2 linked regions of the Oryctolagus cuniculus genome follow. The protein of the gene in region 2 purifies or fractionates together with the protein of the main gene of each other region. This does not show direct contact. Links are inferred from orthologs where the notes say so. Each region holds a gene or a part of one and is shown on either strand. Other genes may lie near its edges.

Region 1 (4,282 bases), on a different chromosome or scaffold from region 2:
GGAGAAAATTTTACCTGGCAGGTGAAATAAACCACAACGATTGAAATCTGGTACACAAAGTTCACTTTCTGTAGGAAAGTTACTAGCCTAAAGCAAATAGGTTGGCTATCCTTGCACAATGTATTATCTTTATAAACATCACAACCTGAGTTGGTAGAATGAGTGGAAGGAGGAGAAAAGCCAAATCTCAAAGCTTCCAAGAGTCCTTTTGTAGCATGGCTTTTGATGATAAGCATTATGGAGTGTAACTTCTTGGTTAGAACACAGGCTATGGAGCCAGCACTATGGCATAGCAGGTAAAGCCACCACCTGTGGTGCCAGCATCTCATATGGGCACTGGTTTGAGTCCCAGCTGCTCCACTTCTTCTGATCCAGCTCCCTGCTGATGTGCCTGGGAAAGCAGTGGAAGATGGCCCAAGTGCTTGGGCCTCTGCACTCACGTGGGAGACCCCAAAGAAGCTTCTGGCTTCAGATCGGCCCCAGCTCCTGTCATTGCAGTCATCTGGGGAGTGAACCAGCAGGAGGAAGATCTCTCTGTCTCTCCCTCTCTCTGGAACTCTTTCAAATGAATAAATAAATCCTTTAAAAAAATGTATTAAAGAACACAGGCTATGTCAACTCCCAGGTATGTGACCATGGACAAGATCCTTCCCCAAGCATGATGCACTGCTCTGTAAAATGGGGCAACATCAGTGCCTACTGCCAAAGCACTGCTCCAAGAATGAAGCAGTCACCACTTGACAGCACGCTGGGCACGACGCCTAGCACGTGGCCAAACACTCACGGGTCACACCTACTTCTCAACATGACAGGGCACACAACGGAAACTCAACAACACACCTACAGCCACGCAGCCCTTTGCAGACTAATGGTGGTGTGGGAACGCACTGGCACCCTGAAAACACCAGAAGTGGCAATGTCTCAGAAATCGACCCACGCTCAGCACCAACACTAAAACCTGCTTCCTTCATCGGGAGCACAGTTCTCCAGGAGGAGCCAGGCCAGACACAGAACCACGCGCGTTACTCAGGGTGGAGAGAGCTTCGGTCCCCATAAGCTTCCCTCAAGTTACCACCACTTCGGAGTCTTTGTTAGGGATCTTTTTTCAGTTATTTTTGCACAAAGGAGTCTTTGTTGGTACAATGGCTTTCCCACTGGTTGTTCCCAGACAATCCTTTCACACCAACACTTCTATTAGAGAGTCCAATCAGGATTCATCCCACTTTGGAAAAAAAAAAAAAAAGCCCGACAAAGGTTCCAAGTGTCATTCTGATTTTACAAATCACTGTCCACACTTGTTCCCATTCCCCTCCCTCCTCCCTTCCCCCCAGCGCCAGGAGTGGAAGCCATTCCTCCAGGACACCATATAAGGGGCGGCTCCACCCCGGGCCTCCTTATATGGTCACATCCCACACCCACCCACAGGCTCATCACACACAACCAGGAACCCACTCCTGCCTGACCCACCGTACAGGGACACAAACGCACCCCACGGGCCAGGCTCAACTAAGCTCCTCCCTCCCTCCACGATCACACACTATTAACAGGTCTGCAGGTGAGAGACGGGGAGAGAGAGGGAGAGAGAGGGAGAGATGGAGATGGGGGGAGAGAAAAGTTGGAGGAGGAAATCCAGCGCGCACACACACAAACCCACGTGAAAGCACTTCCAATCACGAACCCTCGATCCGGAACGACTCCCGACGTCAGCCACCCGCCCGAGGACCCTCCCTCCCCTCGGCCAGCCCCGAGGGGCGCAGCGCCGGCGTTAATGAGGCGTGTCTCAACCACCCTCGGCCCACGATCACACGCGCGCAGCCAGAACTCCGGGGCCGAGCGCACCTCACTCCACGCAGCCACCGCGAAGACCCTCAGGGTCTGCTTGACCGCCCCCTCCCATCGGAGGCCAACTTTCGGGCCGCCGGGTGCAGGAGCGGGCTGGCGGCGGCGTTGCCACGGCAACCGCGGACCGTCCGGCCGCCGGCTTTACCTTCAGGTCCTTCTTGGTCACGTCGGTGTGCGAGACAGCGCGAATGGTCCCGGACAGCCAGGGCCACTCGGCGACGCGCTCCACGTCCCAGCTGTCGGGGCCGCCCTCGCTGCCCTCGGCCGCGGACAGGCTGAGGAATCGCTTCCCCACCAAGACCGGCCAACTTTCTCCGAGCGTGAGCACCATGGTTTCCACGCCTGCAGGAAGGGCGCCTCCCTGCACACACACAAAAAAATACACATATACACACACACACACACAAAATGCAGCGGGGGCGGCCTGGGAGAGTCGGGGGCGCGGGGCAGCCGTCCCAACCCCGCGCCGGGGACGCGCGACCCCGGGCGGGCCTCGCAACCGACCCCTCCTCCGCCAGCGCCTCCCTGCCCCCCGCCCCGCTGCCACCCCCACCGCACACCCCGGCCCAGGCGCCGCGTGACCCTCGCTCTCCCAAGTTTCGCTTTTCCAAAAAGCCTCCAGCCTAAACGCAGGGGGAGCACCGGGAGAATTATCTGCGGCTCGGCGGCTATTCAGCCGCTGGTCCCCGAGCCCGGAAGAGGTGAGGAGGCCCCCTAGTGCAGAGGGCCTCTCCCCGCAGCGGGGTCCCCGCCCCGGGCGGCCCGCGAAGCCGCACTTGTCCCGCCGCCCCGCCCCGGCTTCCCGGCCTCGCCCGGGCCTGCAACGCGGCCGCTGGACCCGCGGGGCCGCGGCCCGGCGCCTTCACCTTTTCTCCCTTCTCTCCCCGCAGCCGAGGCCGCGGCGCGCTTACCCCGCCTCCCGCCTCCCTGAGTCACCGGCGGCGGCCGCCGTTTCCAGCCGCCCAGCCGACTCTCGCTCTGACTTGGTTCAAGAGCTCTCACAAGACACGCACAGCCTCTCGGGCCCGCCCCCGCGGAGCCGCTGCCGCCGCTCATTGGCGGAGGCCTGGGAGCTGGGCGGGGCTCCTAGGGAGACGGCCCATCGCCATTGGCCAGCCCGACGGGGGCGGGGCGAGAGAAAAAAACAATTCCTTGGCTGCCTCCTCCCTCTCCCCTCCCCCTTCCGACTCTCGGGCGACCCCCATTAGGTTAAAGTACACAGAGTAAGCGAGAGATCCCTCCGCCACAGGGCCATTCTTTCCATTTGTTGCCTCGCGGCACGCAAAAGAGTCCCGCAAAATCGGGCATCAACTTTGGGGCCCGGAGGAAAATTGTTGTGGCGCACAAATAAGACTGAACGGCCAGGCTCAGGGCTGTAAATGCCTATTGGATTGCTCAAGTGCGCAGGCTGTCGACCGAAAATGGACCTTCCACTTGGCGGAAGAATCTCACAGGAAAGGGCTGAGGGCGGTGCAGCGTCGGCGGGGGAGGGAAGGGAAGGGAACGTGCGGTTTCAGGCGTACTCAGCTGGAGGGCGGAGCCACAGTGCTCGGGAGGCTGGTGCGCAGGCGCCTCTCGGAGCCGAAGCTGGAGCGGGGGCTGCTGGGTGAAATGGCCGCGGGAGGCGCAGGCGCACGTGGTGCTGATCGTGGAACGTCCAAAGGCCGCCATTTTGAAGCTAAATGAAGCAAGGCGTGGAGCCTAAGGGAAATGACGTTCGTTGAATCTGGAGGAAAAGAGGTAGTTCAGCACAACGCAGAATGGAGGCTTTTTAATGTGAGGAGAAGATGAGAAGATTTTCTGAGGCTTACAAAACAATGGAAAGTGAATGGAGGCCATAGTTACACAAGATATGAAAGTGGAAGTGAATTTGAAGGACAAAGGAGATTAAAAATGTGCTTTGACTCTGGAGTTTCTTCTCTAGTGGAGAAGAAAAAATAAAGAAATTGAAGACCTTTTTATAAAGGCTGATGCTTTAAGTGACATCACATTTAATCTTTAAGAGAATGAATGGAAAACCAATGCTCCCCATTACAGTGGTGAATCAGAAAACGTTCATAAATGTATTTAAGAAATCGGATGCAAAGTAATTCCAGGTGTTGTTTTAAATACGTATGTTCTTTATGTGCGACCTTTGAGTTTTTCAAGTTAAGAATAACAGTGATTAAAATGAATTTTGAAAATTTGGGTGATAGAAGAGTGGAACAAAGAAAATGTAGTCCAATAAAAGGCAAAAGAGAAGAGCAAAAGAAACAACAAATGCTTCTCTCGGTAGGGTGATATCCTGATAAATTCATCATAGTTTGAAAATATAACTGGAAAATGTGCTAAATACAGCAGACCTAACCCATAAACATTACTTAAGGGGATTCTCTAGACTGTAGAGAATCAGTTGTTTACCTTCATGATCTCATGACTGACGGGGAGATGCTGTTGATGC
Region 2 (3,945 bases):
AAGTTCAGTGGAGAAAAGGGAGGACTTAAGGGAAAGAAACGGAAAGGACTATGTTTCTAAGTGTTGTTTAGAGACATAGAGGTCTAAGCAGCAATGGCACGGTCGGTGCCTGGCTGGATAACTATAGTATTAAAGCTGTAAGGGGGACATTTACTGTATATCTGTAGAGACCCAGTTCAACGGTGGCCCATCACACAGTGCAGAACAGTGAGGCTTCACACCTCGAGGACTGCAGCACGTCCCCAGTGACCAGGGCCAGTGAGAGGAGCAGCTGGGTCTAGCAGGTGTGGCTAGATCTGAGTACAGCAGGGCAGGACCAGAATGTGGCTCTGGTCTGGAATGTCACCACGGGAACGGTTGCTAAACACAAGTGAGATCTCCTTGGGTATGATCCCCTAAGTTTGTACAGAATGTATAGGGGTTGGGGTCCTGCATGTGTAGATGGCAGAATAAAAGACAGTTCACACATTTTTTTCAAATCTCATTTGTTTCTGCAGCAGCACTATAAGGAAGGTATTAGATGGAAGAAATATATTAATGTTTTGGTTTATATTTTTGACTAAGAGAGTCAGAGAAAACATAGCATTCACTTTTGCTCTTTTAAAATTCCAACAAGTATTTATTAAGTGCCACATTGTCATTATGAGCTGATTAGGTAATTTTCAAAATAGCTTCACTTTTCATTATACTGGTTTTTCTTTTTCTGTGACACAAGCAGAATGTGTTCATTTGGAAAAAAAATGAGATTCAGATAGATCAACACATTTAAAAATTAAAATCACTTATCTCACCACACAGATGGCCATGGTAAGCTTTTGAAGTCCATACTTTTCATTTTCTCTTTGCATATTAATATATAAATATACAGGACTTTTTTACAAAAATGGATATTATATATAACTCTTGAAAATTGCTTTTTTCACTTCACAATATGTCATGTACATCTTTCCATGCAAATAGATGGAGCTCAGATCTCAGGGAGGAAAAAAAAAAGCAACAACAATTTTATGCCAGTTAGGAGCCAAGCACCTAAATTAAAGCTGCGTCAAAAAAGAAAAAAAAGTTAAAATTAGGAAGATGGGGAAAAAGACATGTAAGAAAATGCAGACAGAAAGTTCCGGTGGCAACACTGTTTCCAGGCAAAACAGAATTAAAGACAGAATACATTAAATTGGATAAGGACGGCTGCGTTTCGCCTTCCAATGCATTATCATCAGTTTGTTTCTCACTCTTTTCATCTCTTCCATCTCATCGGCTGCTTGTATCATCTCCTCATTGCTTAAGTTTCTGCCATGAATGTCCCCTCTAAACTGCGGGCGAGAGCGGGCCAGCCTTTCTTTGAAACTTCCCTCTTCGAGCTTATGTTTGCCTACTCCACAAGGAGGCTGCTCCATGGGAGGGCGCTCCTCAAACAGGTCCTTGCTGGAAAGGCGTTCCTGCCGGGGGCGCTCCGCACACAACAGCATCTCGGGCAGGAGCTCGGGCAGCAGCTCCTCGGGGAAGAACTCCTCCTCCGAGGATTGCTCCTCCGAAGAGGGCTCCTCCTCAGGCCCCTGCTTCTCGGGAGCTTGCTCCACTGGAGGCTCCTCCTCGTCGGGCCTCGGCGCGCTCCGCGGCTGTTCTTCATTTTCTTGGCATGGATTTTCCATGCTGAGAATATTCTGATCCGAGCGGTTATTCTTAGGAGACAAGCAAAGCAGGGCAGTGTCAGGATCCTTGGGGCAGCAGCAACACCCCAGCCAGGGCTGCAATACCGGCCTCGCCCTGACTGGGGGCCAGGTCCTCACACGCGCGCTTCTCGGCCGCCCTTCCTTCCCGCAAGCCCACCATTTTCCCAGCAGGCCTTGCCACAGGCCGCTCCCGCAGTGAGAGGGGCGGGACAGCGGGGACCTCAGAGGCCGTTGCGTTTGGCGATCGCCCTGGCGCCCTGGCGCCCTGGCACCGCGGCCCCGGCCCGCTGCCCAGCCCTTCACGGACATGGACCTTTCAGGGACGTATGCTCCTAGACGCACCCTCCTCGAGGTGCCCCCTCAGTGCCCCGCAAACAGACGCCACACAGGGTTGGGGGCGGGGAGGAGGGACAGCCTGAGCGACACACACCCCCAGTTCTGGGCGCCAGCCGCCGCCCCCATGCCAGCCCCCTTCAGGCTCTCCTCCCCTCCCAGACACCCTCTATCCCGCTTCGTTCTCCGCGCCCCCACCTCACAAAGCTTGTCATTTTTTCTCGGGCGGGAAATGGAAGCAAGCGGTTACTTAGAAAACGATTTCCAAGGGTCTATACCTTCCTCCCAGGCGGGCTCTCCGTCACCTTCCTACCCCACCCCCTCAAGACCACCATTTTCTGCACCAAAATGTGGGCGCGGGGGCGGGGCTGGAGCAGAGGGAAGAGGCCTGGGCGCTGCCATCCCTAACTGATTCCGGGGATCCAAGGCAGCACCGACCGCCGATTGGAGAGGATCGAGAGAACTTACTTCCTTCTGCTTTCCCTCTCGACCAAAGGGTACTAAGACGGTGTCTGGACAGGCAGAAAGGACCAGGACGAGAGGGACTTGGCAGACACAGGCTCCTGGTCACGTGAGGGCCGCGCGTCACTGCCGAGCTCAGATCCCCCGTTACCACTTTGACCGGCGGCCGTGCACAGCAACCTGCTTGAATCTGACCCCAAACACACCCAGCATTGTCTCTCACCTCTCCGTGTGCGCCTTTTTCTGCTTGCCGGAGATGTCAGCACCTAGTATGGAAACTGCCTGCCTCTTCCTCTCTGCTGCTTCCCCGGATACCAGCTCTCTCCCCCACCCTCCCTTCCCCATCACGGCAGCCCCTGATTGCCCCTGCAGTTCAAATCCTGCACTGACATTTGACTTCCTGGCCGTCGCGAATCAATATCATCCCCTCCTATCCCAGCACTCCCGGTTTTCATCGACGTCTTTAACTCCATCGTTTCCATTTCGGATCTCTCGACACCTTTTCCGCTTTTGTCATTTTCATGGGAGAAACTCATTCACTTTTCTTTGACGTCAGTATTTTGTTTTTGTTTTTCAGCCCCCAGACCTATGTCACGAATAGAAACTCAAGGCTAAATTAATAGTCATTTAGTTGTAGACGCGTAGAAAAAGTTCAGTTTGTAAAGTATATAAATCTGAAAAAAATGATATTCATAAACCACAAATACATTTGTCCATGTATAAATAGTCCAGAAATCTTAGGTGTTATCCAAAATGAGAGACTCCTTGAGGAAAGCAAAGCATGGCATTTCTCTCTCTGGCTCTGTCATTCTCACTCTCGCTCTATCGATATAGACAGACATATGTATATATGTATGTATGTGTATGTATACAAATAAGTGTATATATATATAATGAATACTTTATATATACATTTATATACCATTATTCAATAGTTGCTATTCATAATAGAAGAAATAGATTTTATTAGGTCTCCAAAATCCTTATCCGGTCACTTCTTGGTACTTGTGGTTACGAAAGTTTATATTAATTCATTAAATCAACAAATATTTAGGTCCTAGAACTCCTGGCCTTCAAAAGATAGCTGCATGGGGCCAGCACTGTGGTGTAGTGGGTAAAGCCACCATCTGCACACTGGCATCCCATATGGGTGTCGGCTGAGTCCCAGCTGTTCCACTTCCCATCCAGCTCCCTGCTAATGTGCCTGGGAGGGCCAGGCCATAGCAGAGAGCTGGATGGGAAATGGAGCAGGTGCGATTAGAACTGGTACCCATATGAGATACCAGCAGCACAGGCAGTAACTTTTACCCACTATGCCACAGCCCTGGCCCCTATATTTTATATTTTGTAGCTTATACACAAGTATGTATTTATTTTTTACTAGGATGGTAGAAACACTGCACAAAATCAATTAACTATTTTTATTTCCACTTCTTTTTAAAAAATATTTATTTAATTATTTGACAGGCAGAGAGTTACA

Evidence for each region. The genes of interacting proteins can lie anywhere in the genome.
Region 1: the proteins of TCEAL1 (region 2) and KDM3A purify together in Homo sapiens (affinity purification with mass spectrometry; 3 studies listed by BioGRID and IntAct, counting the BioPlex papers as one, with this or other methods). This does not show direct contact. The link is inferred for Oryctolagus cuniculus from reciprocal best matches to the Homo sapiens genes TCEAL1 and KDM3A.

What each region holds. Positions count from the first base shown.
Region 1 is NC_091433.1:116,320,314-116,324,595, forward strand, and holds the start of KDM3A (lysine-specific demethylase 3A), read right to left. Parts: upstream 2,875-4,282; 5' UTR 2,754-2,874; exon of another isoform or gene 2,709-2,753; intron 2,204-2,708; 5' UTR 2,174-2,203; coding exon 1,988-2,173; intron 1-1,987. UniProt on the Homo sapiens protein: Histone demethylase that specifically demethylates 'Lys-9' of histone H3, thereby playing a central role in histone code.
Region 2 is NC_091453.1:89,818,121-89,822,065, forward strand, and holds TCEAL1 (transcription elongation factor A protein-like 1), read right to left. Parts: upstream 2,541-3,945; 5' UTR 2,339-2,540; coding exon 2,282-2,338; intron 1,680-2,281; coding exon 1,167-1,679; 3' UTR 591-1,166; downstream 1-590.